Linked DNA regions of Oryctolagus cuniculus. The protein of the gene in region 1 purifies or fractionates together with the protein of each later gene. This does not show direct contact. Links are inferred from orthologs where the notes say so. Each region holds a gene or a part of one and is shown in the gene's direction. Other genes may lie near its edges. The genes, in order: RBBP7, BACC1, PHF1, SAP30L, PWWP2A, CUL4A and SIN3A.

What was found.
Region 2: the proteins of RBBP7 (region 1) and BACC1 purify together in Homo sapiens (affinity purification with mass spectrometry; 3 studies listed by BioGRID). This does not show direct contact. The link is inferred for Oryctolagus cuniculus from reciprocal best matches to the Homo sapiens genes RBBP7 and BACC1.
Region 3: the proteins of RBBP7 (region 1) and PHF1 purify together in Homo sapiens (affinity purification with mass spectrometry; 7 studies listed by BioGRID and IntAct, with this or other methods). This does not show direct contact. The link is inferred for Oryctolagus cuniculus from reciprocal best matches to the Homo sapiens genes RBBP7 and PHF1.
Region 4: the proteins of RBBP7 (region 1) and SAP30L purify together in Homo sapiens (affinity purification with mass spectrometry; 3 studies listed by BioGRID and IntAct, counting the BioPlex papers as one, with this or other methods). This does not show direct contact. The link is inferred for Oryctolagus cuniculus from reciprocal best matches to the Homo sapiens genes RBBP7 and SAP30L.
Region 5: the proteins of RBBP7 (region 1) and PWWP2A purify together in Homo sapiens (affinity purification with mass spectrometry; 3 studies listed by BioGRID and IntAct, with this or other methods). This does not show direct contact. The link is inferred for Oryctolagus cuniculus from reciprocal best matches to the Homo sapiens genes RBBP7 and PWWP2A.
Region 6: the proteins of RBBP7 (region 1) and CUL4A purify together in Homo sapiens (affinity purification with western blotting; 4 studies listed by BioGRID). This does not show direct contact. The link is inferred for Oryctolagus cuniculus from reciprocal best matches to the Homo sapiens genes RBBP7 and CUL4A.
Region 7: the proteins of RBBP7 (region 1) and SIN3A purify together in Homo sapiens (affinity purification with mass spectrometry; 8 studies listed by BioGRID and IntAct, counting the BioPlex papers as one, with this or other methods). This does not show direct contact. The link is inferred for Oryctolagus cuniculus from reciprocal best matches to the Homo sapiens genes RBBP7 and SIN3A.

Annotation. Positions count from the first base shown.
Region 1 is NC_091453.1:3,004,228-3,007,722, reverse strand, and holds the end of RBBP7 (histone-binding protein RBBP7), read left to right. Parts: intron 1-1,342; coding exon 1,343-1,453; intron 1,454-2,405; coding exon 2,406-2,474; 3' UTR 2,475-2,867; downstream 2,868-3,495. UniProt on the Homo sapiens protein: Core histone-binding subunit that may target chromatin remodeling factors, histone acetyltransferases and histone deacetylases to their histone substrates in a manner that is regulated by nucleosomal DNA.
Region 2 is NC_091448.1:51,719,537-51,723,869, forward strand, and holds BACC1 (chromatin complexes subunit BAP18), read left to right. Parts: upstream 1-1,478; 5' UTR 1,479-1,702; coding exon 1,703-1,723; intron 1,724-1,907; coding exon 1,908-2,002; intron 2,003-2,483; coding exon 2,484-2,585; intron 2,586-3,150; coding exon 3,151-3,341; exon of another isoform or gene 3,342-3,460; intron 3,461-3,552; coding exon 3,553-3,657; intron 3,658-3,809; coding exon 3,810-3,874; 3' UTR 3,875-4,072; downstream 4,073-4,333. Other genes in the region: RNASEK (ribonuclease kappa), read left to right, coding at 1-45, 661-737, 1,001-1,142. UniProt on the Homo sapiens protein: Component of chromatin complexes such as the MLL1/MLL and NURF complexes.
Region 3 is NC_091436.1:135,735,474-135,739,814, reverse strand, and holds the start of PHF1 (PHD finger protein 1), read left to right. Parts: upstream 1-1,430; 5' UTR 1,431-1,625; intron 1,626-2,309; 5' UTR 2,310-2,325; coding exon 2,326-2,484; intron 2,485-2,568; coding exon 2,569-2,650; intron 2,651-2,758; coding exon 2,759-2,854; intron 2,855-3,018; coding exon of another isoform or gene 3,019-3,109; intron 3,110-3,283; coding exon 3,284-3,384; intron 3,385-3,464; coding exon 3,465-3,613; intron 3,614-3,761; coding exon 3,762-3,857; intron 3,858-4,010; coding exon 4,011-4,079; intron 4,080-4,220; coding exon 4,221-4,341. UniProt on the Homo sapiens protein: Polycomb group (PcG) that specifically binds histone H3 trimethylated at 'Lys-36' (H3K36me3) and recruits the PRC2 complex. Involved in DNA damage response and is recruited at double-strand breaks (DSBs).
Region 4 is NC_091437.1:41,399,264-41,403,018, forward strand, and holds part of SAP30L (histone deacetylase complex subunit SAP30L), read left to right. Parts: intron 1-2,208; coding exon 2,209-2,331; intron 2,332-3,755.
Region 5 is NC_091437.1:47,036,202-47,039,956, reverse strand, and holds part of PWWP2A (PWWP domain-containing protein 2A), read left to right. Parts: intron 1-1,465; exon of another isoform or gene 1,466-1,967; intron 1,968-2,700; coding exon 2,701-3,755. UniProt on the Homo sapiens protein: Chromatin-binding protein that acts as an adapter between distinct nucleosome components (H3K36me3 or H2A.Z) and chromatin-modifying complexes, contributing to the regulation of the levels of histone acetylation at actively transcribed genes.
Region 6 is NC_091440.1:693,441-696,885, reverse strand, and holds the end of CUL4A (cullin-4A), read left to right. Parts: intron 1-89; coding exon 90-242; intron 243-1,407; coding exon 1,408-1,503; 3' UTR 1,504-2,862; downstream 2,863-3,445. UniProt on the Homo sapiens protein: Core component of multiple cullin-RING-based E3 ubiquitin-protein ligase complexes which mediate the ubiquitination of target proteins. As a scaffold protein may contribute to catalysis through positioning of the substrate and the ubiquitin-conjugating enzyme.
Region 7 is NC_091443.1:108,567,757-108,571,511, forward strand, and holds part of SIN3A (paired amphipathic helix protein Sin3a), read left to right. Parts: intron 1-1,277; coding exon 1,278-1,516; intron 1,517-3,536; coding exon 3,537-3,720; intron 3,721-3,755. UniProt on the Homo sapiens protein: Acts as a transcriptional repressor. Corepressor for REST. Interacts with MXI1 to repress MYC responsive genes and antagonize MYC oncogenic activities. Also interacts with MXD1-MAX heterodimers to repress transcription by tethering SIN3A to DNA.

The DNA of each region.
Region 1 (3,495 bases):
GTCCTACCTTGTGTGTCCTTTTAAGGCAGCTAGTTACCATGCCGTAGCAACTCAGGGTGTACTTCTCAGTAAACCGTGGCACTAGCCAGACCACATACAAGGGCTTTATTCTATATTGGGCAACCTATTCCAAAGAATCCGTTTTGTGAAGCAGCACTTCATAGTTTTTAAGTATTTTCTAGGAAAGGCATCGCTCCCAGCTATTTTTGTCCTGCTATTTTCACTTATTTTAGTGACAGCTTTGAGTTATAATTCACATACCATACAATTCACTTACTTATACAATTCAGTGTTTTTTAGTATATTCAGAGTTGTACAACCATTTCCACAAGTCAGTTCTAGAACATTTTTTGTTCCTTCAAAGGGAAACTGCCTAATACTCACCTCCTGATCTTCCCATGGCTCCCAGCCACCATCCGTCTTTGTCTCTAAGATTGGGCTATTGTAGGCATTTCATATAATGGACTCATAAAATATGCGTTCCTTGTGACTGATTCTTTAACTTTAGCGTGATGTTTTCAAGGTTTCCAGCTTTTTTTTTATATATATAGCAGAGACGGCAAAGTTTATTACTTTGTACATCATGGCTTTGCAACCGTTTCCTGGAGGTCCTTGAAAATCCTCTAGGACTTTGTTCTTTTCACACACACACAAACCCTGAAATCGGGACATTTGAGTAAACTGTATACTATCATGTCAATATGACAGTGTCTTGCTCTGGTGACCCATATTTTGAGCCATATTTTTACTTGTATACCCCATAAGTGTTTTTGAGAAACTGTTATACCCTCAATTTGTAAACTGATAGAATACTAGCTAAAATAGTTACATCGCATGTAGACTAATTGACAGAGACCTCATTGTCTAAGCAGTCAAAGCAGACTTTGTCAGAAAGTGTGCCTTTTGTATTGTCCTTGACAAGAGCTGTTGCTCTGAATCTTAATGCAAAGATAAGATACAGGGCCTTCCTGTGAGGTTCTCTTGTGGGAAAGCAGACGCTACCCCTTCAGCAAAGCTCTCTGCTTAGGCCTCCATGGGAAACCCTGGAGATATGCTTTTACAGCCCCAGGGGTTGAGGTTTTTTTCTTAACTTGGGACAATGTACCTTTGGAAAGACTGGGGGAGGGTATGAGGTCTGCATTTCTTTTAGTAAAGGTAGAGACCCAGGAGACTCCTTAGGCCTATGTGGGACAGATTGAGCCTGTTGCTGCCTTCCCTCTCAATTTTGTGACAGTTGTTCTCGCCACCCCCAAAAATGATACTCTCAAAACTAAAATTTTTAGCTATTTGGAATAATAGAAGATGACATGAAACCAGGACCCTTTTTTGTTCTTATTAACAGTTTATTCATGGAGGACACACTGCCAAGATCTCAGATTTTAGTTGGAACCCCAATGAGCCTTGGGTCATCTGCTCCGTGTCTGAGGATAACATCATGCAGATATGGCAAATGGTGAGCGGAAATGTTTTTTCACAACTGTCTCATAAAGGAGATTTGCTAGTGATATAAAAGATGCACATTCTACAAAACCAGTGTTGAAACATTGCAAAAGAATATTTTCCATATTAACACAATCTTTAGTTCGATACTGGTACTTTCTTGATCTGCAGTTTGTAGCACCTGTTGGGTTGGGAGAAATGTCTGTAATGTCTCTATATGAGCACGCTGGTTGCAGATGCAGCACCTGCTCTGATTGTTGTGCTCTTCATCCAAGGCTGGCTGGATACCTTTGTCTCCAGGGCCTGTGCTCTGTCATAGGTGTGGAGACAAAAGGGGAACATCAAGATGTTCAAGTCATGCTGAGTTCTTTGAGCACTTGACCAAGTCTTTCATAAATAACATGGCCATAGCTCCCTCTAAATGATGCTTGAAGGACTTTTGGAAAACACTTTTTTTTTGACAGGCAGGTTTAGACAGAGAAAGGTCTTCCTTTTTTCCGTTGGTTCACTCCCCAAATGGCCACTATGGCCGGCGCACTGCGCTGATCCGATGGCAGGAGCCAGGTGCTTCCTCCTGGTCTCCCATGGGGGTGCAGGGCCCAAGCACTTGGGCCATCCTCCACTGCTTTCCCGGGCCACAGCAGAGAGCTGGATGGGAAGAGGAGCAACCGGGACAGAATCTGGTGCCCCGACCGGGACTAGAACCTGGTGTGCTGGCGCCGCAGGTGGAGGATTAGCCAAGTGAGCCGCTGCGCCGGCCAAAAACACTTCAATGAACAGTGATCACAGGATGGCTAGGCATGTAAGTGGAATTACATATTGCAGACTACAAAATCTTTAAAATGTGTCCATGTTTAATTTCCAACACTGAAATACATTGATCAGTGAACTAAATTTTGTTGGTGATTTTGTAAAGACATTGTGGAAGAGTTTTACCTGTGACTTTATTTGGTTGTTATCTCCAGGCCGAAAATATTTACAATGACGAAGAGTCAGAAGTCACAACATCGGAACTGGAGGGACAAGGATCTTAAACCCAAAGTATGAGAAGTTTTCTGTTGAATGTAATGGTAACATGAAAGAATGCTTGATTATCAAGCACCAAAAAGGCATTGTATAGTAAGAATTGTTAAGTGGGATGGCTTATGGCGTTCTTCACCCTCTGATTCTAGCACTTTCAAGTGAGCTATTGCGTACTGTATCATATTGTAGCTGTTAGGGAAGAAAAGAATGTTGCGTAAGAAAGAACATCACCATTGTTTTAAGATCCTAAGTAGCAGGGTACTACTGCCTTGGGTTCAACTGTTTAAGTCCTCATTTTCTCAAACTAAGTGCTTGCTGTTCCCAAATATGCAACAATAACTTTTACACTTTTTCCTTCCAACACTTTCTTGATTGGCTTTGCAGAAATAAAGTTTTAAAATAAACTTTGTTTCATTCTTTTAAAAGGTCAGGGTGAGTGCTCACGCATTTTTGAGCAGAAAGGACAATGGGTACCTATGGACTTCCTACACAGTTGAGGTCACATGAACAACAAAAGAATACACAGAAACTGTCAAATTTATCATACATATTTACTTAATCTATACAGAATTGAGTAGATAAAATCAGATTCACATTAGTGAAAAATCTCTACAAAATGTTTTTGAAAAGCAAAACAAGACTGCCTCTTAACAATTCGTATCCTCATGAAAGACGTGGGCTGTAAAAATAAAGCAGTGTGTTTAGCACAAACTAGAAGATAATCTGCATCATTTTTTTCACAGTTATTTCCATCTACAGTCTGAAAGAGGTAGATTTTTCTGCAACACCTGAGAGTTGAATTGTGATAACCAGGTGTAATAAAGGCAGTTGCATACATAACTAAAAAACAATGGTCTTAAGACCAAGAAATGTACTCCTACAAGTCCGAGGATGAAGGAGGTGGTCTGTTAACCCAGACCCAAGTTTTTGCTACACCTTGGAGTCTACTGCCACTATTAAATAATACACATCAAGATCCCATGGTGGTGCAACAAATGCAATTTAAGTGAATTCAACATTTAAAACTTTTCT
Region 2 (4,333 bases), on another chromosome or scaffold:
GCCGCCTGCGGCATCGTCCTCAGCGCCTGGGGAGTGATCATGTTGGTGAGGGGGCTGCCCAGCGTGAATCGGTGGCGAGCCTGCGGGGCCGAAGGCTAGGCAACTCCGGGCCTGGGCCAGCAGCAGGCAGGATGGCGGGGCTGGTGCGAAACGAGACCGAACTGAGGCTGCAGAAGAGGGAACTGGAGCCTAGCGGGTGGTGGGACTGGAGCCTAGAATGGGAGCTGGGGTTGGGGTCCTGAGAGATGCTTGGGTCGAACGGAGGGTACAGGGCATAAGGGGTGCTCGTTCCCGAAGAGGGTAGCGGGCTCCACCCGCCCCCACTTCCAGAAGAAATGATTTGAAGAAGTGGCGGTCCTCCCTCACGTCTTCCGCCCTGTCCCGTGAGGGTGACGCTTCTGGGGAGGAGGACAATGTGGGTTCCTGGGAAAGCGCTTGTCCCATCACCCGTCTCGGCATCGCCACCGCACGCCCTGTTCCAGGCGGCTGAGTCCGAAGCCGGCAGCAGCCGCCCCTAATCCTGGTTCATTCTGGTCCATCCCAGGCCCAGGTGTTGTGGCAATATTAGAAATAGAAGGGGTTTAGGGGGTAACCAGGAAGTCAGGTGCCTGAGTCCTACAATCTACCCATTCCTTTTTTTTTTTTTTTTTTTTTTTTAAGATAATGCTCGGAATATTTTTCAATGTCCATTCTGCAGTGCTAATCGAGGACGTTCCCTTCACGGAGAAAGACTTTGAGTAAGTAGTCGGGTGGGGAGGTGGGCAGGTGGCTAAAGTCTGACTTAAGGGCGGGATGCTTGGGGGCGCTGGAGGAAGCAGCTGGCCAGCCGTGTAGGGGTCAGGCCTCAGCGGCCATCGTACGCCCAGCTCAGTCCCCCTCTGCAAAGCGGGCACTGTGGCACTCGCCCCGTAGGACTGACAGCGAGGCGCACAGGAACTGCGCCGTTGAGTGTTGGCTGCTATTAACGCTCGCCGTTTCTCTGCCTAATCCGCGCCTCCAGGAACGGCCCCCAGAACATATACAAGCTTTATGAGCAAGTCAGCTACAACTGCTTCATCGCCGCGGGCCTCTACCTCCTCCTGGGAGGCTTCTCTTTCTGCCAAGTCCGGCTCAATAAGCGCAAGGAATACATGGTGCGCTAGAGCAGGGTCCCTGCTGCCCTCGCCAGCCCCGTCCTCTATTTATAAGACTCTCCCCGGCCCAGGTCACTGGCGCGCTCTGCGGGACTGGGTGCCCCCCACCTCGGCCAGTCTTGAACCCCTGTCCGCCGGCCTCTGGCAGCCCCAGCGGAGGGAGCCTGGGTTGGCCGCCCCCTGGCTCCCCAGCCCTCCCAGCCTCGTCCCGTACCACAATAAAGAGAAGCTGCTCTCTTAAAACTTGTGTCTGTGCTTGCGTGAGGGGGCGGGCCGGAGGTCAGACTCAGACCGGGAACCCCGACCCCCGGGCGGAAATGGAATGGGGCTGACCGGAAGTGAGGCGACGCCTTCCACCACTCCTTCCCTCGGCGCGCCCGGGCGGCCCCAGTGACTGCGGTCGGTGAGGCGGGAACGGCAGGGCTTGGGCCAATCAGCGGCGGGGAGGGCGGGACTTCCTGCACGGAGCCCGGAGCGGCGCGGCAGCCAGGCTCCTTCCGTGGTCCCGGCTCGCGTGGCGGCGGCGGCGGCGGCGGCGGCAGCGTCTCCCTGAGGAGGTGCGCGGGGCCATGACGTCAGCGTCCACAAAGGTTCGACCTCCCTCGCGGACAGCGCTCCCTGGCGGCCACGGGCGGGCGGGTCCCCCGCTTGGCTCCCGGCTCTTCCGCCGCGGGCGGGGGGCGGGCGGGAGCCGAGCCGGGGTGGGGCTAGGGGCTCCGGGCGGGCCGGCGCGGGGGTGTGCGCCGGCCCCCTGTCATGCTGCCCCGCCCCCAGGTCGGGGAGATCTTCTCTGCGGCGGGCGCCGCCTTCACGAAGCTCGGGGAGCTGACGATGCAACTGCATCCCGTGGCCGACTCTTCTCCCGCGGGGTACGTGAGCCCGGGCTGGGACGTGGACGCTGAGGGCGGACGCTCGGACTCCACGCGGACGCGGACCCTCTCTAGCGCAGGGACAGCGGTTAGTTTCCCTGTGGCTGGCACAGCCGGAGCAGGTGTTAATAAGTGATCGTCGAGTGAGTGAGTGACAGATGCAGACAGGCCCCGCCCCGCACTACTTCCCCGTCGTACCCCCGCCACGACCACCCACTCCCGTTCCTCGGGCTGCTGCAGACTGCTAGGGTGCAGGTTGCGAGGCTTTCACGTTGATGGGAGAGAGAGGTGGTCCGAGGTGTCCCGATTTCCCGCAGCCGGGGGGTCCTCCAAGCTTTTCTTCTCCTTACAGAGGGCCTCTCTATGGATCCGTGACCGGGGCCCCAGAGACCGGGAGGCGGCGACTGGCCGGCTGTGGCCCCGCCAGCCGGCTCGCTCCACGCCTCTCCCCATTCTGCTGACCCCTCTCCCCTCCCGACAGAGCCAAGTGGACGGACACCGAGATAGAGATGCTGAGGGCTGCTGTGAAACGATTTGGGGACGATCTTAATCACATCAGCTGTGTCATCAAGGAACGGACCGTGTGAGGGAGGGAGGCGGGCAGAGAACGGGGGGCGGGCCCTTTTCCTCCCCTCACCCTTCCTTCCACCCTCATCACAAGTCCCTTGCAGCTCCGTGTCCTCCCTTGAGGACTGCAAACACACAAGGATGGTCACGTTGGTCAGACATCCCAAAAATGCCCTGGCAATGAGGGCCTTCCAAGAATCTGATTTCAGGTTGTCTGAGAGACACGATCACTGCATTTGACCCACAAGGTTCCCTGGGTAATCCGACAGATCTCTTGAGATTCTCCCACAGTGTTTCCAGGAATATTGCGGTTCTGAATATTGCTTGGGATCTATGAATAAGTCTCCATCTTACCTGGTGGCCCTCTGCAGCCACACCTCTCTCCCAGGAGAGACTCAGGAGGGGTGGGCCTTTCCCCGTACTCAATTCAGGGAGCCCACTCCTCACATCCATCCGCCCGGTGTGAGGGCAAAGCTGCAGGAAAAAGAACCCCACCAAAAATTCTTGCGAAGAGGCTCCCTCCTCCCCCACCCTCCCCACTTGGTGATCACTCCTTCCCTAACCGGCTGTCTTCTCTTCAGGGCTCAGATAAAGGCCACTGTGAAACGCAAGGTGTATGAAGACTCTGGCGTTGCGCTTCCAGCTGAGTCACCCAAGAAAGGGCCCAAGAAGGTGGCCTCTGGGGTCCTGTCGCCTCCCCCGGCTGCCCCCCCGCCCAGCAGCTGCAGCGTCCCTGACGCCGGGGCCCCCCCTGTAAAGAAACAGAAGTCCGGTGAGGGCGGTGGAGTCGCTGCCTCGGCGCGAGAGGTCCCATCTGAGGCTCAGTGAGAGAACTGGGCCTTGGGCGAAGCAAGACAGCTCTTCCGCTCCCTCTGGCTTCCTCTCCCCTGGGTGGGCAGAGGGGGAGGGGGTGGGGCGGATGGGGTGAGCACAGAACTCGGGGTGGTCGGGAACCTAGAGCCTAGCTTGTGCCCCCCTCGCAGACGTGACGCTCAGTGCTCTGAACGACTCGGACGCCAATAGCGACCTGGTGGATATTGAAGGGCTGGGAGAAACTCCTCCGGCCAAGAAACTCAACTTCCACCAGGGTAGGAGTCCCCCTCCTCCCACACCAGCTGGGGGCGGGGTAGGATCTCAGCAGGAGCCCTTCCCTGTGCACTCTGCCGGCCGGGCCGGGACACTGTCTCAGAGGCCTACTTGGGGCCCGCTCCATCTCGGTCTGTTCTCCTTCCTGTTCCAGACAGCCTGACCCTGGGTTCTGGCCGCCTAAAGACCTGCGCTGAAGCTCCTTTGCTCTCCTGCTGACCTCCCACCTCCGAGCCCTCTCACCGTTCGCCTGGACCTGTGGATCGCCTGGGACTCTGAGCGAGGCCTGCCCGAGAGAGGCGCAGAGGCTGCTGGGGCTGGCCGCCTGGCTGGTCCTGGACGAGCATCCGCCCCAAGCCCTTTGACCTCTGTCTGATGGACATTTTTATACAGAAAACAATAAAGATTTGTCTCTCAGCTTGGTGCTGTCGGGCTCACGTTATTAACAGGAGAGGGCCATTCCCTCTCCTGGCCTCGGCCCTCAGGGGCCCAGCCCCTCCCAGTAGCTCTCGCCACCCCGCCTGGAGCAGCACAGCCAATATTGGCAGACTCGCCTCCCGGTGCCAATATTTCTGTGCTGCTAGAGCCAGGGGAGCTGGGTGTAGGCAACAAAGACTCCACTTTGCTCTCTGGAGCCAGGACGTAGTCCCAGGGCCTCTGGCAGGCAGAAGTCCTGAA
Region 3 (4,341 bases), on another chromosome or scaffold:
TAGGGGAGGAGGTGGAGGTTGGTAAGGGGTGCTTTACGGGGTGGAGGAAGCTATCTATGTACCCGACTTATCAAATAAAGAATAGTTTTTTTTTTTTAAATAAAGATTTTATTAGCATTTGCCCAAAGAGGAAAATATTTTTCATATCCGTTAAGACAGGAGCTGTGGAGGTGCCTATCCAGCCATGTGTTTGTGGGCTAGGAATTAGGGATTAGGTTTCTCTCTTTAAACTTTTCTTTTCTGAAAGGAGACCTGGAAAGCTAGTTCACTCCCCACATGCCCGCCACAGACAATGCTGAACCAGGAGCCCAGAACTCAACCTGGGTATCCCACCCATGTGGGGGGCAGGGACCTAGGGTGCACAACAGCACCTGGAGTTGGAAGCCAAGCTGGGGCAACCGAACGTGGGATGGGGGTCGCAACCCGAGCTGTGTCTTTTTTTTCTTAAATTACTTGAAATGAAGTTAGAGGGGCAGATCTTGCACCCGCTGGCCCCCAAGTTGCGTCTTAACCGCTAAGCCAAACGCCGGCCTCGGGCTTTCCTCACCTGCTCGGGATCATCTGACTCCCTACGCGCCCTCCCCCGTCGCCACTTCCTTGAAGGGTGCCGCCTGGTTGTCCAGCACAGCCACTGATGGAGCTCCCCTACGACGGGCACCCGGGCCCTGCGGCGGTGCGGCGCGCGCTCCCACCAACTGCAGGCGCTGTCCTCCCGCCCTTTCCTGCCTTCGCGTTCGAACCGCCGGGGCGCTGCCCTCCTGCTGCCCATTGGCTGGCTCTCGGCGGCGTCACCGCCCCGGGTACTAGCCCTCTGCGTCCCGGCGCCCGCCCCGCAAGCGGGAGGGTGCGCATCCGCGCCGACCCCTCGCGCTCCCCGATGTCGGCCGCCGCCCGGCAGGGGAGGGGCTCGGCCTTCCCAGGTGCCGTGCGCGGGAGGGGCCACGCGTGCGCAGAGCCGCGGCGGGAGGGCGGGGGGCCCGCGGGCCACGGGGAGGGCGGGGCCGGGGCATCGGCGGGAGGAGGGCGGGGCGAGGGCAACGGGAAGGGTGAATGGAGGGCGGGGCCGCGAACTGGGGCCCGGGGGCGGGACTTGGAGTGACCACGGGGGGTGGGGCAGCTAACGGATGTAGCATGGGGCGGGGGGCCAGTCTCGAGGCAGGCCGCCGGGAGGGGGATTCCCTCTGGCCCCAAAGGCGAGCCTGCCATCCGGGGAAGGGGCCGCGGGGATTCCCTCTCCTTGCCGGCTCGACTATTCGCGCCCCGAACCGCTGAGGGGCAGCCGCTCGCTCGCGCCCTCCAGGCCGCTGGAGGTGAGGGAGGTGGGGTGAGGTGGTGCCCGCCCCCCCTTCGGCTCCTCCTTCCCCAAGTCCTCCCCTCCCAGCCGGTCCGTCCCTCCCCTCCCTCCTTCCCTCCCTCCCCCCGCCGCCTCCTCCTGCCGCTGCCGCTGCTTTGGCTGCTGCGTCATACGCCCCAGAGCCGCCGGGACGGAGGGGCTGGGCCTGGGGACCCCCCGGCCTCCGCCTGCACGCCCCCGGGCGCCCGGACGTGCCCTCCCCGCGCGGGGGGCTCACCTGGGTCTCAGACGTCTGCCCCTGCCTGGCTCCCGGCGGCCCCAGCTGTCACCGGTAAGGAGGCGGGCAGGAGGCGCTGGTGGGGGGGGGACAGGGAGCCCGGGGGTCGGCGCGCAGGGCGCGGGCGGGAGAGCCTTGCCGCTCTGGCCTCGGGTCGGGCTGGGCCGACTCCAGTGCCTTCTCGGACTTGCCGTGGTGGGGAGGAGAGAGCGGGACTGGGACACGCCCCCCTCCCAGAGCACTCGGGGAAGTTACCTAACCCAGGGGCAGGAAGCCCCGAATTTGAGGGTGACCTGACATAACCGGGCACCGGATGATTGTTCTGTGTGAGACCAGCAGGCCGGGGGACAGCTGTTTCTACTCTGGAAAACACCTCCAGAAACGCTCCCTAAACACATGCCTGGGCAACAGTACCGCGGTGGCGATATGTCTAAGCAGAGGGGAGGGTGAAGCTGAGTAGCAATCTCTGCTTCTCCAGCCATCATTTCTCCTCAAATCTTAAGACCGGGCTGTGCTATCCCAGGAGAGCGCTCGGTTTTGGGGAGGGTGGCCAGGAGAAGTGGCCACCAGAGTTGGAAGAGTTGGGAGTCCGGACACTGAGTGGCTTCCCGTCCTAGTGTCCCAGGGTTTGGAGACCAGGCGTGCAGAGACTGATCCCTGACAGAAAACTAGGCAAAGAAAATGGGCACGCTTCCTCAGCATTCCTCACCATCTCCTTCCCGCCTCATTTCTGGCCAGGCCCCCCCAGGATGCGATGGCGCAGCCCCCCCGGCTGAGCCGCTCTAGTGCTCCCTCACTTTGGGACCCGGCGTCCCCGGCCCCCACCTCAGGCCCCAGGCCTCGGCTGTGGGAGGGTCAAGATGTGCTGGCCAGATGGACTGATGGGCTGCTATACCTGGGCACCATCAAGAAGGTAAGCCCTTCCTCTGACCTCTCACCGTCCCGTTCCCCTTATCTAAGTCTGGCTCCCTTTTCATCCTGTGTTCACCCACCCCAGGTGGACAGTGCTCGGGAAGTGTGTCTGGTCCAGTTTGAGGATGATTCCCAGTTTCTGGTTCTGTGGAAAGACATTAGCCCTGGTGAGACCCCAGAAACCTCAGCCTGCAGCCTATGGCAAACAGAAACCTGGCATGGGGGGGTACAGAGGGCCTCGAGGGCAGGCCTCCTGACACAGGGTTCCCCCACAGCCGCCCTCCCTGGGGAGGAACTCCTCTGTTGTGTCTGTCGATCTGAGACCGTGGTCCCTGGGAACCGCCTGGTCAGCTGTGAGAAGTGTCGCCACGGTAAGAGGCAGGATACCTGTGGGAGAGCTTGCCCTGGGCCTGCCAGCCTGTGTCTAGCCTGCCCCTCCAGCACTGCTCCTGTGTCACGTCGCTTCTTCTGGCCCAAGTCCCCACGCCACTGCTCTGGCCAGTCTCCTCAAGACTGAAATCTTGCCCCCTTTCAGCACAGGGAGAGGCAGCCATGGAATGAAGGTGGTATAAGTTTAGCAAGCAGAGGTGATTCAAAGACATCTCTCTCTAACCATGTGACTTCAGGCAAGTCCCTTAACCTCCTGTTCTCTCACTTGTAAAATAAAGATAATACTTTCACGCTGGCAGAACCGTGGTCAAGGATTAAATAAAATGGGTAAAACTGTTCCTACCCCAATACCAAGCACACATGGGCATGCAATAAATAAGTGGTCTACTATCAACATTATCATTATTCAGCTTATCACCAGGACTGCCACGTTCCCCGGGCCCCAGCCCCTGGAGAAGGAGAGGGCACATCCTGGGTCTGCCGCCAGTGCATCTTTGCGATCGCCACCAAGGTAAAGGCACCCTCCTACTGCGCCTCTCCTGAGCCTGTCCCGCCCACCTCTGAGGCCTCCCGCCTGCTGTATCTCTGCAGAGGGGAGGGGCACTGAAGAAGGGCCCCTATGCCAGGGCCATGCTGGGTATGAAGCTGTCTCTGCCGTACGGACTGAAGGGGCTGGACTGGGACGCCGGACATCTGAGCAACCGACAGCAGAGCTACTGCTACTGTGGCGGCCCTGGGGAGTGAGTAATGAGAGGTGGCAGATCCCAGGGGGTGCAGGAGTTAGAACAGGGTGAGGGGAGGACGGGGGATGGGAGGTAGGTGCCGAGCAGGGTTTGGGGCAGTTAGGGGGAAGAGGGTGTCTGAGGCGACTCGTCCCGTTTCCCTCAGGTGGAACCTGAAAATGCTGCAGTGCCGGAGCTGCCTGCAGTGGTTCCATGAGGCCTGCACCCAGTGTCTGAGCAAGCCCCTCCTCTACGGGGACAGGTGAGGGCGTGGCGGATCCTCAGGGGGCCAAGCTGCCCCGCCCTGTGCTCCACACTCTGCATTTCCTCGTCTGTCCACCCTCCTTGCTTCTGAGCCCTCCATGGCATGGTTTTCCACAAGGTGACACGTCCTCTTTCTCTTGCCCACATCCAGGTTCTATGAATTTGAATGCTGTGTGTGTCGGGGAGGCCCTGAGAAAGTCCGACGGCTACAGCTTCGCTGGTAAGGTGGACTGAGCCTGACCTCAGTGTAGCTTCCTTCCCAGCACCCTCCGCGTTGCACCCTACATACCCCAGCCGCCCATCTCAATCCCCTGGCTTTTGAAATGCTTCTTGTGGCCTTGACAACTCCGTGTTTCTCCAGGGTGGACGTGGCCCATCTTGTCCTCTATCACCTTAGCGTCTGCTGTAAGAAGAAATACTTTGATTTTGACCGCGAGATCCTCCCCTTCACCTCTGAGAACTGGGACAGTTTGCTTCTGGGG
Region 4 (3,755 bases), on another chromosome or scaffold:
ACTGAAAAGTGAAATGGGGGAAAACAACACTATAGCCTTTGCTGCCACGCTCCTGCCTCCTTCTCACCCGGAAGGCCCCACCCTCAAAAGCTCTGAATTGTTCAAATTGGCATGTACTTGAAAATGGTTAAGGAGAAACAGACGAGTCTAGCAGAAAACCTTTGTAACAACATCAAAAATCTAACGCAGGCAGTTTGACTCATTTTATGTAGTTGTCAGCCATGTTCTGACATTCAGACTAAGTATACCTGAAAACATTTCTCCAATTGATGTATTTTGTTTTTTTTTTCTTTTTTCTGGAGAAAAGTGGAACTGAGAATTAAATAAAGGAAAAAATGTAGCCTAGGAAAGTACATGTACCCAGAGTTAGAATACTTTAGTGACCTTGGTCAGGTCCTTTCTGTTTACCCTTCTAGAAATTGAGATTGGGGCCAATGAGTTTGCATTGGTGATTGCTAAGTTCTCTTCCAGCTAGGATTCCATTATTCTAATGTTAAGACCTGATGTCTCCCAGCCAAAGCTTTAGGAAATCACCTAATCTGCCTGTTGTTACACCACCATGCTTGTCACTCTGAATTTGAGTTGCGGCTTGGTCTCTAAACATTCACATGCCAGCCTAGCTAACGTGGAGGACCAGGTTCCTATCAGGAATTCAGGGTGTACTTACAGGAGAAAATCATGTCTAGTAGTACATGGGCACTAAAGAAACTGCATGGAAAGATGGCATTAAAACTTTATTTTGGTGTGAAAAGATTTGAAGCACATACATAGTTTTCTCATAACATATTTCCATGAACTTTTTGAAGTACCTTCATATATATATATATATATATATATATATATATATATATATATATATATAATGTATGAAGTGTAAATCGGCTAGGTCAGATTCTTTGGGATAATGGCTTGTGCCCTGTCGAAAAGATCCTTTGATGGAGTTGAATCTGGCAAAGCTATTCCATTTCATAACCATGAAAGTGGTGACCTTTCTTCATGTGGCCTATGGAGATTGCCTTATGGATGCTTTTATAGAGTACCTGCTGTCTACTAAACACCACCACGATGTAAACTTAAAACTGTGTATAGCTCACTAATCTAACCACACAGAATTGGTAATTCATCTGACTAAATGAAGTTTTCATTCATTATTTTCTTTACAAAAAGGACTGACTTAATTGATGCTAATTTCCTGTCAGCTTACTTTTATCTTTAAGGATTTAAGGAATAGACTTAAATTCCTAAATCTCTCCAGAACATTTGTGTAGCAGCTGTTTCAACATCAACAACCCCTAGTCATTTATAAAGGCATTAGGTTTCTTAAGGCTTTGGAATGGTTCCTCCGCCAACCCTGGTACTTATATCTTTAAATAAAAACATAGTACGTATATACATATTCTTCACATCTTAGCTGATGTTACCACCTCATTGCCAGAATATCTGCAGCTTGTATTAGGAAATAAGCAGTAAGATCCAGCTTCTTTTATGTTGTTCCACTTTGTGAGAATTTCCACATTTTTCTCTCTCCTGGTAGATCATATGTGAGGTAATACAAGAATTAGACTGATACATGAAAAAAAATTTTAGTGATACATGCTAATAAAGAATTTTAAGGAACTATCCTGCAATAGTAACTATCTCAGTGTTAAAATAGGGTGTCCCATGGACTGTTATCACAGCCCATCTTGCCTGCTTCCCTTCTCCCAGGACAGCATGTTCCAGCCCCATTGTAAAGTCATGACTTTTATAGACCTGGAAATGTCACATCACTCCTTGCTTCAAAAACCTTGAGGGAGTCTGTCTTATCTAAAGGAATATCTAAACTGTTCTTGAGCCCCTACACAGACAGTCACTACCACCCAACTGATGCTGTGTGCCCTGGGCCTCCTCATTCACCCCTTTGTCATCATAACTGGATGATGACTTCTGAGTCTTGATTCTCCTTCCCCTCTGCCTGCAGAGCCGGGAGCCTCCACACCGATTGACCAGGGATCTTTTCCTTTGCTCAGTGTCTTTACAGTTCAATGGTGACTTGGTTTCTCCATGTGTGTTCTAGTTTTCCAGTTCAGTGGTGAGCTTCCGGAAGTATAGCCCACTCCTCTGTCTCTCTCCAATGCCCCACAAAGAAAAACAGCCCCATCATTTGACAGATGCCTGTTACAGTTTCTATGGAATTGGCAACCCTGACTTTAATTTCCTCCCTATTAGGTAAGGCACCTGTATATCTGTGATTTCCACAAAAATTTCATCCAGAGTGTCCGAAATAAAAGGAAGAGGAAGACAAGTGACGATGGTGGAGATTCTCCTGAACACGACACTGACATTCCTGAGGTAAAGGCCAAAACATAGCAGCTCGAGAAAGCTGGAGGAATGAATTCTAATGTGATACTTATCCCTGGCCTGCGTTTGTGCTAAGAAGTAATTTTAGTTCCCTTTGTTCTCCAGTGGTTTATTTGGAAAGCAAATCGTAGAGTCATAATATTAAATCTGAGAACGTAAAAGCATGGAAATCCAGCGGTCTGACTGTCCCGTCGTCTTACAGGTTCAGAGACTGCAGGTCACATCCGTGATTAGAGTTGGGAAGCTCTGCTCTAGTGTCCTTTCCAGGAGACCATACTTCTTTCTTCAAGAAGGCCCTCACAAGATGCTTAAATGCAACCACCATGTCAACATATTTAAAATCTTATTTTTGCCTTTAGAGACTGAGTGTGTAGGATTTGGTGATATCTATTCCTTGGTTTTGTGGTCTGTAAGATGAAGGTGTAAATTCGTCAGTTCTTACCAGCTCTTATTTTCTGTCACTCTCTAATTCCATGACTCCTGGTACAGGCTGGTTCCCAAGGATCTGTTCCATAGTCAGTTATCCTGCTCCAGAGTTTCTCAGCTCTGGCACTTATGACGTGTGGGACCAGATAATTCTTATTCTGGGGGACTGTCCTATACATTGTAGGATGTATAGTGGGATCCCTGGATTCTACCCACTAGATGCCAGTCATACCATACCTTGAGCTATGACAGTCAAAATAGCTTTCCAGACATTGCTAAATGCCTTTCAGGGGATACAGTGGTCCTGTGTTGAAAGCCACTGCACTAGATCATGAGACCTGGGCTTCTCAAACCATGGTGCCTTCAAGGTGCCAGTGTCTGTTACATGAGGCTCCAGGAAAGGATATTGGATTTTCTTTGTTTCTAAATTGTTTTCACATAAGACTCAGCAAAAGAAGAACCGTTTATAGTGTACATTGAATATTTGATGCATGAATATTTCATAAGGCAACTGCCTGTTAGCACTCAGAGTGAAAATGACTGTGTAGGAATAGAAAGAGTAGGCGGGCCTTTGTCTGCAGATGTGGAGGAAACCTTTGAAAATTCCGGCACTTGCCCCTGCCCCTGCCCCTGCCCCTCCCTGGGTCCCCTTTTCCAGCGTTAGTTTACGGCACCATTCTGTTGCGTTTAGTATTATTATTATTTTTAAAGAAATGGATGTGTTCAATTTCTAACTGCTTTTCACACACACAGAAAAAGGTTTAAGGAATGTTTTGAAAAGAATGAAGGACTTTTGTCCGTCATATTGATCGTTCATTTTGTTTTTAAGTGCTCTCCACCTGCCTGAAGCAAGAACATCCCTTTTAGAGGCAGGTAAAGGCAGCCCAGCTTGATGGGCCTTCGATATTTCATGACTGTGTAGCTTTCTTTTCTTGCTGTGTTAGGGAAAAAATATGGTGGGTGGTCCCTTGCCCTCTGTTTTCCAGTCA
Region 5 (3,755 bases), on another chromosome or scaffold:
AATAAATTGTCTGAAAAATCAGATTACTTAAATGAATTTTAGGCCTGAGAGATGGCTAAACTTTATTGAGCTGTTAATTCTGACTTGAATCCTTCAAGGTAGGAAGTGTTATTCAGGATAGAAGTTTTGAGGGTACAAACATTTGATAGGAGATAGCTATGAAAGGTTATTCAAACATGAAGGTAATGATGGTTTAGTTGTTTGCATAGCTAAACAAAGAAAATGCCCTTATCAGAAATGTGACTGGTCAATGGGGTGAAATGGTCTATGAATTCGAAAAATGTGTTAATACAAATAGTGGTCTCACTTCAGATAAGTCAACAGTATGTTTTGTATAGTAAAACACAAAAATCTCCTCTTTTGTCATCTTCAATGACAAAAGGTTAAATGATCATAGTGCTTTGCATTTAGGAAGCAAACAGTTAACATGTGATGCTAGAATAAAAAGTAACTTTCTGGGAAGTCTGCAGTGAGGAGGGAGTCTTTTCCTTCTTGGTCTATCCCAGACCCAAGCTTGTCCTGTGTTAGGTGGACTTCCATCATTCACACATATTTGCTGTAATGTTAATTTGTGGCCAAGGTAACAGACTAGGAAGAAAAGTATTTAGGCATTAGAATCAGGTATGTGGTGTGTGTACATAGGGTCTTTCTCATTTCATATGTTTAGGGATGTCTCCAAGTGCCAGAACCTAATCTCAAAATTTCTTCCTAACAAAGGTATTCTCAACTTCGTTTTACAGCATTAACTTGTTCTCTAGGAAAAAAAAAAAGACAAAAAAAATAAAAAGGAAAGAAAATATTTGGGTCTAGTTTCAGGGGTTCTACCTTGATTACCTGATTCTTGGGTTCTAAGCACTTTTACTTTATGATTGATGTTAGAATTATATTCTGTTAAATACTTTTTTAAAAAAATTTATTTATTTGAAAGTCAGAGTTACACAGATAGAGGAGAAGCAGAGAGAGAGAGAAAAGTCTTCCATCCGATGGTTCACTCCCCAATTGGCCGCAATGGCCGGAGCTGCGCGGATCTCAAGCCAGGAGCTGCTTCTGGGTCTCCCACGCAGGTGCAGGGGCCCAAGGACTTGGGCCATCTTCTTACTGCTTTCCCAGGCCATAGCAGAGAGCTGGATTGGAAGTGGAGCAGCCAGGACTGCTCATATGGACACCCATATGGGATGCTGGCACTTTAGGCCAGGTCATTAACCTGCTGCACCACAGCACCGGCCCCCTATTAAATACTTTTAAACAGTCAACAAGTATCTTATAAAGTTATTTATTGGGTGAAACTTTTGCTTAAGTGTGTATATTCATGCATATTTACTTGTAAATTTTTAATTCGATTTTCCATTTTGAAGTTGCCTTTAATGAATACATGTATACAGACACAAACGTTTTTATTGGGTTATAATGGGAAAAAATTTTGAAGGTTTATTCATTTGAAAGGCAGAGTTACAACAAGAGAAGGGAGAGACAGATCTTCCATTTGCTGCCTTACTCCCCAAATGGCTTCATTGGCTAGGACATTCCTGGCAGAAGCCAGGAGCCTGGAAATCAAGTCTCCCACATGGATTGCAGGGGCCCAAGCATTTGGGCCATCTGCTGCTGCTTTCCCAGGCACATTAGAAGAGAGCTGGACAGGAAGTGGGCAGGTGGGACTTCAACTGGTACTACTCATGGGATGCTGTCATTGCAGGCTGTGGTTCAACCTGATGTGCCACAGCAGCGACCCCGGGAAAATATTATTTAAAAAAAATTTTATTAATGTGGAATATAACTCTAAAAGCTTGAAACCCTGTCGTCTTTGGAGGTAATTTGAGTTTCTTGATTTCTGGTGTGTTTGGCTTCTTTTACAGGCAGACTGGGGAGCCTTGAGTTAAGGATGTAAGAGTAAAGGAGCAACTTCTTTGGAATCTTTAGCTGTTAATAAGTAAAGAAAAGATGGGATTTTACTGATGGAGTATTTTTGGGTAATTAGCTGAATCCGAGTTTTTTTATTATTACTTTAAAAAAACCTCAGAGTTGGAGAGAGAGATTATCCTTCCACTGGTTCACTCCACACTTGGCTACAATAGCCAGGGCTGGGCCAGGCCAAAGCCAGGATCCAGGAGCAGCTTCTGGGTCTTCCGCATGAGTGTCAGGGGCCCAAGCACTTCTGTCATCTTTCACTGCTTTTCCCAGGCCATTAGCAGGGAGCAGGATCAGAAGTGGAGCAGCCGGTATATGAACCAATGCCCATGTGGGATGCCAGCATCATAGTAAATGTTGGCCCCTGAATTTGAGTTTTAGGTTTTGAAAGCTATTTTAACTAGACAAAGATATCTGTATGTTAGAAATTTATGCTTGCATTTTCTGAAAGTGTTATATATGCTTCAGTGTTATAGCACATGATATTTACTATTAAACTATCCTTTCTGATTGAAAACTGGAGTGGTCCATTTTAGGTAAAATTAGCTTTTCTGGTATTGCCTTCGATAAACATTTGGAGTGTTTCTGTTTTTACCTGAAGTGAAGAACCAAAATAAGTGAGGTCTTTGAGCTTTTGGGAAAGTTAGCCAGTAGATTCTTGTGTTGGTGCTTTACTTTTTATATGAAGTAGTTTTCAGGAAAGATCATATAAAAAAAACAGGAAGTGTTCTTTATGTGTAAGAAATTGAATTACAGATAACTAACTTGATGACTTGTGTTTTATTTTTTTCAAAGGTTTGGGCCTCATGGGATCCCTGTGACAGTATTTCCCAAAAGGGAATATAAGGATAAACCGGAAGCCATGCAGCTGCAAAGTAACACATTCCAAGAAGGGATAGAGGTCAAGCGCGAAGTGAATGGTGCTGCTCCTGAGGACCCTTCTCCTCTCCCACCACCTGAGCTGAACTTGGCTGAAAGCTTGTGGACTTCCAAACCACCACCTCTCTTCCACGAAGGAGCACCTTATCCTCCCCCTTTGTTTATCAGGGACACATATAACCAATCAATACCTCAGCCACCTCCTCGGAAAATTAAGCGACCCAAACGAAAAATGTACAGGGAAGAACCCACATCAATAATGAATGCTATTAAACTACGCCCCAGGCAAGTCCTATGTGATAAATGTAAAAACAGTGTTGTTGCTGAAAAAAAGGAAATTAGAAAAGGTAGTAGTGTAAGTGACTCTACTAAATATGAAGACAAAAAGCGGAGAAATGAAAGTGTAACTACTGTGAACAAAAAACTGAAAACTGACCATAAAGTGGATGGGAAAAACCAAAATGAAAGCCAGAAAAGAAATGCCGTGGTTAAAGTTTCAAATATTGCTCACAGCAGAGGCAGAGTAGTTAAAGTTTCTGCTCAGGCAAATACATCAAAAGCTCAGTTAAATACTAAAAAAGTGCTCCAGAGTAAGAATATGGATCATGCGAAAGCTCGGGAAGTGTTGAAAATTGCCAAAGAAAAGGCACAAAAGAAGCAAAGTGAAACCTCTACTTCCAAAAATGCGCATTCAAAAGTCCATTTCACACGTCGCTATCAGAATCCTAGCTCAGGTTCCCTTCCTCCCCGGGTTCGTTTAAAACCACAGAGGTACAGGAATGAAGAAAATGACTCTTCTCTGAAGACGGGACTTGAGAAAATAAGGAGTGGCAAGATGGCGCCCAAACCCCAGTCCCGCTGCACCTCTACCCGCTCAGCAGGTGAGGCCCCTTCAGAAACTCAGAGTCCCTCAAAAGGCCCTGAAGAGGCCAGCAGTGAGGTTCAGGACACAAATGAAGTGCATGTGCCTG
Region 6 (3,445 bases), on another chromosome or scaffold:
TGTCTGTCCTCTCTCTGCGTTTCTCATGAAACTCGACAACCTGAAATCATACTGAAAGACATTTTCACCTCTTCCCTGTTTTTGTCCAGGTTGAGGAACAGGTTAGCACCACTGAGCGGGTGTTTCAGGATCGACAGTATCAGATCGATGCTGCCATCGTCAGAATAATGAAGATGAGGAAGACGCTGGGTCACAATCTCCTGGTTTCTGAGTTGTATAATCAGCTGAAGTTTCCGGTCAAGGTGAGTGTAGCGTGGGCGCCTGAGTGCGTGGTGCTGTGCCAGCAGCCGTCCTGGGGCCCAGATCTGTGGCCTCGGTCAGTGGTGATCGTCTGCATGCAGTGTGCTGGGGGACAGGGCTCTGGCCGGCGTATTCCACTGGTGCCTGTTTCAAGAAGGAAGGGCGGATGTGCCGTGGGTGTCTGGACAGACTTCTCAGCGGTGCTCGCGGGGTTGCGAGGAGAGGGCAGTGAGAACTCCTGTTCTGCAGTTAGCAGCCACAGAGCATCTCAGCCTCAGGTCAGGTGTCCGTTCTGACCCCCAGCGCCGAGTCACTGCCCTGCACGTGGGACGCACGCAGGCAGGGCAGCATTAAGGAGACCCAGCAGGTGTGTGGTCAGCCCGGGAGTCACGAGCTCTGCCTGCCACCAGCTCCCAGTCCCCTGGCCCTGTGCTGTGGGAACTGGGGACACCGTGGGACAGCGGCCGGTGCTTGAGCCCTGTGCCCCCAGAGGTGACGTGCATCAGCGTGAAACACTGTCACGGCTGCTGCTGTCCTCCCCCACGCCAGGGCCGGTGTCCGCGCTCCTCTGTCGGCCCAGAGGCCCGACGAGCAAGTGCAGGGCTGCGTGGCCAGCCCGGCACGCGGCTGCCCGAGCTCCTGCTCTGCCTTTAAGGGAAGTGCGTTTCCCACTGTGTCTTAACCGCGTGGCCCGTCGCCGCAGAAGGGTGCCCTGTGGGAAACCCTGTGGAGGGAGAGCCTTGCTCATGCACTCACATAGGTGCTTCCAAATGCGGTGGACTGGGAGGTGCGCAGGTGGCAGGGCCACTGGAGTTTGTATCATGCGGTGCGGACACAGTGAATGTGGTCAGTGAGTGGTAACAGAGCCAGTGCCCAGGGACGGGGTCCTTCCGCACTCGCCTGCGTGCGTGGGGCCTCCCCTGCTGTGCACGCGCCGCTGAAAGCAGGGGCTGCGTATGCTCCTGCACCCCCGGGACACCACACTGAGGGCAGTCAGATTCTCTTAGGTAGAAAACGGCATTCGTTTGAGCGTTGCCTGTGTGCAGTTAGAGGGATGTGTGCACAGTGCGTGTGCAGTGGCAGTGATTCTGGGACAGCATCGCGTCACGTGTGAGTATTGGCATGCGTGGCACCCCAGTGATCGGGGACTCTGCTTTGCTTTTTCAGCCTGGCGATTTGAAGAAGAGAATCGAATCTCTTATAGACAGAGACTACATGGAGAGAGACAAAGACAATCCCAACCAGTACCACTATGTGGCGTGACGTCAGCCGTGTCTGCGTTAGAGAAACACTAGAATGTATCTTCAGAGCGACGGGGCGCCTCCACGCGTCGCCGGGACTCTGCTGGAGCCCGCTGTGGGCCCTGGACGAGACGGGAGAGCGCTGATTCTGGGCTGTCCCCACAGGGCTTGGGTCTCCAGACGGCATAAGTATCTTTTCCCCCTCTGGTTCTTTTAGGCATTTAAATTGTTCCTATTGCTTTGTGCAGACTGAGACGCTGGTTAAAGGCGGCCCTCAGAAGGTCGTGTTCCCGGGGCAGGAGCTGAGCTGCTTCGGTTCTGTGTGTGTGGTCACGAGTGCGCCGAGAAGACCCTACATGCTGCATTTCGCTCTAAAGATGCCTGAAGCCACGCCCCTCGTGCTCCACCGGCCGCCCAGTGATGCAGCCTCAGCAGCCCGCACCTGTGTGTTCTGTTTTTCCAAACGTTTCGGGCTTTTTGACTGGATTCCTGAAACTCGGGTTTCAGGCGAGGGCCGGGGCTGCCAGCACCTTCAGTCCCGCCCAGCTCCGCGCGCTGTCGGTTGAGGGCCTGGGGGTTCGTGTGTTGGTGTGTTCATTCTAAGATTGAGTCTAGCAGTCCCTGGTTTTTGGCATTGGGGAAACTGCTGTTTGATTTTTTTAAATTGCAGTATTTGTATGATTACTATAATAATAAAGTCAGGTTTGGTTTTTACAGTCCTGTGCAGGGACAGCCCTCGTTCTCTGCTCTACCACTATTAAAAAGTTTTCTAGGAGACTTGAAGTCTTGACATTGTGAAACAGAAGTTATTTTGTCAAAAGATTAAAAGGCTTTTGTTGGTATCTGGCTACGTGTGTGTGTGGGTGGGTGTGCGTGGGTGCGTGTGCGTGTGTGTGTGTGTGCGCGCAGCCCAGCAGCTCCCTGGAAGCTCCGTGGGGGTGTCAGTGTGTGACTGTGATCACATTTCAGAGTGCTTTCTGTTTGACATAAGAGCATGTTTCACTTTGATTCAAAGCTACCAAAGGAACCTTGATCATGGTATAAGTATTTAAAGCAATATTTTCTGGAATACACCAAGTTTATATAATTTGATTTTGTGGTAAATTATTAAAAGATTCTTCGTTTTTGAAACATGCGTGTTTAGGATATGACATCCTTTGGGTTCCCATCTTAAATCCTTATTCTTCATTATTTCTATATTTGTAAATTTTTGTTTATGAATTCTGATATGTGGTGTGGGAGAGACCAGATAGACTTCTACTTCTACTTCTTCAATTTTAAGTTCACTGTGTCTGGAGATTGTTAATGTAATTTATGTGGACTGACTTCGAATAGTCTAACAGGCCTTAAAATCGCAGTAATAAACTCTGTGGTATGCAAATGGCACGCTCCTCGTACCTCTTCAGCCGGTGCTCCGCCGTCTCCAGGGCGGCAGAAGCAGGGACGCGGCCCGCTGGCCGCCCCGCCACGCGTGGCCCACTGCTCGGGGGAGTATGGCTCATTCAGTGCTTGTTATGGGTCGGCGGGCACGGGGAGTCGCTGGCGAGGCAGGTGCACAGGAAAGGAGAGGGAGAAGCCGTGAGAGCCGCGACAGAAGGAGCGGGCCACTAAGTCCCCTGTATGCCTGCAAGGCGGGGCACTGGCACGATGGTGAAGTGACCGTGTGAACGGCAGAGGCCGCCTTACCCGGGCCGGGGGCCACCACACAGGGCAGGGCTGGGGTTTAGTTGTGATGGTGACCGTGTGCAGGGAGCTGTGGCTGCTCAGGGCCGCGGCAGGGCAGACCGGAGAGCTGAGAGGACTGAGTCAGGAGGGCTGTCCAGTAGGGGTCCCATGGGGTGGTCAGGACAGGGCTGCTGGGCCCTGGGGAATCAGAGGGGATGGACACGCCCTGCCCAGGGTGGAGCAGGCCAGGACAGACCCCGGTTGCCCCATCTAAGGTGTGGAGGAGGTCAGTGTAGTGG
Region 7 (3,755 bases), on another chromosome or scaffold:
CTGACGTAGCTCTCTTCCCTCTTCACACTGACTCCCACTGCTTCCAGTGTTCTAGAATGAGCTCTCACGTGCTGCCTGGCCCCTGGCAGGTCGTGGCCACGTTTGCCCCAGCATTCATCAGGAGTCCAGCCATTTGCAGAAGACTCGATCCTGACAGGTGTTAGCCTCCGTGGGGATTAGCAGACTGCGGGGCCTTTCTTGGCTGCCCGGGTTAGCCAGGCTCAGTGTGCATCTTTGTGGCACGGTGCGAGTCCTCACTCCCGACCACTGTGCCTGCCAGCGGGGGGCAGCAGCCTCCTTGCCCATTGGCGCCGGCAAGGGCAAGGAGCAGTGAGTTGTGGGCTGTGTTTGAGGGATGACCTGGGGAAGGTGAGTTCCTGTATCAGTCAGGACGCTGTAAGACAGCTTCCAAGTCCAGGGACCTGGGAAAACGGGGTTCATGTCCAGCTGGGGACTTGGCTCTGAGGATGACCGCATCTGGTTGTGAGAGGGAAAGAGCTAAGAAGGATCTGAGATGCCGGAATGCTCCCACCCGGAGCAGTACCAGGACTTACACTCGTCTCACAACTCGGTTGCCACACTAGATACGGGGCCCCGTGCGATCGTGAGAGATTTAGAGAGTTCAGTCCGTTGCTCATCCATAATTGGGAGCGGGGTCCTGGAACAAGAAAACGTGGGGGACACCTTTGCACACTGCTCATTGCTGCACCCTCTGTCCCTCATTTAGACTCTGTGTGAAACCTTGGAGACGGGTAGTCTAAGGCGTGCAGTGCCAGATGAGCGAGACCTCTTCCAGAAAATAAGTGGCCAGAGTAAGAATTCAAGTGGTTACCCCCAGATAGAATGTGGACTCCACGAGAAGTGAGCGCCAGCGCTCAGACTACTGCTGGCTGTGGAGCAGGCTGTGTTGAGTGGTGTTTGGTGAGGGATTTCAGCAGTGCGTGACGCTCAGGGAGAGTGGCAGCAGGGTGGCTCCCGTGTGCCCCTCTGGTCTGTAGGGTCAGCTGTGGAGAGCAGGGCACAGTGCTGTGAGGGACCACCGCCGCGTTCTCGTCTTGGCTGGACGTGTCTGAGTGCCAGCTGCTGTGCTGGACTCTTCGTGTAGATCGTACAGTCAGTCCAGAACAGCCTCAGGAGGACCCCGGGTGCTGCCGCCTTTGGACTGTGCTGCAGTGGCAGAGCCGGGCTTGGTCAAGGAGGTGAGCGTCCAGCCCGGGTCTCTGACCCCGCCGCTCTGTTTTGGTTTGGGTGCTAAGCACCTTTGTTTCTCTCTCCAGCTGGATGTAGTTTTGGAGACCAATCTGGCAACCATCCGGGTTTTGGAAGCAATACAGAAAAAGCTTTCGCGCTTGTCTGCCGAGGAGCAGGCCAAGTTCCGCCTGGACAACACGCTTGGCGGCACGTCGGAGGTGATCCACCGCAAAGCTCTGCAGAGGATATATGCCGACAAGGCCGCCGACATCATCGATGGCCTGCGCAAGAACCCCTCCATCGCCGTGCCCATCGTCCTCAAGAGGTGCCTGGGCCGGGCCCTTCTGCTGTCCTGTGCTGCGCCCAGGCTCAGGCTCCCCTTCAGAGCTCCTGCTGGCCTGAGTGTCTCCCCAGCCCTGGTTGTTGGAAATTGGGTACAAGCAGGAGAAGGGACCTTGTTGTGAAGGTTCTGTGTAACCAGCTGTAGAGAGCAGGTGTGGGGCTGTTGTGAAACACAGGGAGAGCCGGCCGGCGCGCGGCTCACCAGGCTAATCCTCCACCCGCGGCACCGGCACCCCAGGTTCTAGTCCCGGTCGGGGTGCTGGATTCTGTCCCGGTTGCCCCTCTTCCAGTCCAGCTCTCTACTGTGGCCTGGGAAGGCAGTGGAGGATGGCCCAAGTGCTCGGGCCCTGCACCCACATAGGAGACCAGGAGGAAGCACCTGGCTCCTGGCTTCAGATCGGCACAGCGTGCCAGCCGTAGCAGCCATTTGGGGAGTGAACCAATGGAAAAGGAAGACCTTTCTCTCTCTCTCACTGTCCTAACTCTGCCTGTCAAAAAAAAAAAAAAATACAGGAAGAGCCAAGAAAGAAATGACCCATGTTCCTACCGTTCAGTCCTAGCTGTTATGAAGATCCTGGTGTGTTTTATAATAAAAAATCACTCTTCGTAGAATTTTTTTATTTATTTGAAAGAGTGACGGGGAGAGAAAGAAAGAATAGATGTTTTCCATCCACTAGTTCATTTCCCAGAGGGCTGTAATAGCCAGGGCTGGGCCAGGCCCAAGCCAAGAGCCCAGAACTCCATTCTGAATGCCCACACAGGTGATAGGGACCTAAGCACTGGGACCATCTGCTGCCTTCCCAGGTGCATTAGCAGGGAGCTGGATTAGAAGCAGGGTGGCTATCACTTGAATTGGCACAGCATCACAGGCCACGGCTGCGCCTTCCGTGCCACAAGAGTATTTGTAAAAATTGAGACATGCTCGTGAAAACAGTGTTTGCCATTTTTACCAAGAATGTTTGTCCTGATAGACCAGGCACGGTTGGGTGTGGAGGGCTGAGTACCCACCTAAGGCTTCAAGCAAGAGACCACAGGCAGGGCTGAGCTCCAGCGTCCTTTCTAAGTTCATGGCATTCCTTTTTTTTTTTTTTTTTTTTTAATTCTTTATTGGTTTTTAATATTTGAAAGGCAAAGAGACAGGCACAGACTTCCCATCTGTTGGCTCACTTCGGGAATGTCTGCAGTGCCGGAGGCGGAGGCCAGGAGCTGGGAACCCAATCCAGGTCTCCTGCATAGGTGTTAGGGACCCAGCCACTCAGGCCGGCAGCACTGCCTCCCAGGGTTGCATTGGCAGAAGCTGTGTTGAAGTTGGAGGCCAGAACTGGATGTTGAACCCAGGTCCTGGCAGGCGGATGTAGGCCAGTTGCCTGCCCCCATTGGTACTCTGACCGTGCTGTGACGCTTTGGCTAAGAGCTAAATCCTCTCGGTATCACCTGGCGAACGTTGATTGTTTGCTGCACAGCTCACACAAGTCCAGATTTTACCTTTCGTCCCCAGCCTTCCCCTAAAGAGCAGGCACACGCTGCGGATTATTCCTCTAGCCAGTAGTGTTTGACGTGTGGCTTCTGAGGTGCAGATTAGCCTTTAGTTCTGGTGCTGTGTTGGTTTTCATTCTTCCCTGGAGCCTCAGAGTCAGGGACTCCGCTTGGAGCTTTGCGGACTGTGTCCAAGTGTAGGAGAGGGCCTAAGGCTCTCCAGCTGTCTGAGGCAGAGAGCCCCTTCTTGAAGGAAATGCACCCTCGCCCCAGGGGGTTTTCTGGGGTGCTGTTTGGGAAGTAACTAGATTAGATTTGTGGTTGTGGCACCAGTTACTGCCTCAGAGTGCGTCCTGAATGGCTGATTCGCCACGTGACAGTCCAGGCCGGGTCTGATGACATTTGCCCCTCGCTGTGAAGGACTCCAGCAGCCCTAGTGATCTTTGGGTTGGAAGTCAGCCTGGCATGCCTCTCCCTTCTGGGCCTGAGTTCCCACTTGTCGCTGTGTGCACCTCCCTCCCACGCAGGCTGAAGATGAAAGAGGAGGAGTGGCGAGAAGCTCAGAGGGGCTTCAACAAGGTGTGGCGAGAGCAGAACGAGAAGTACTACCTGAAGTCTCTGGACCACCAGGGCATCAACTTCAAGCAGAACGACACGAAGGTGCTGCGGTCCAAGAGCCTGCTCAACGAGATCGAGAGCATCTACGACGAGGTGAGCAGCGGCTCCGCGCTGCGCCCTGCCCCCTG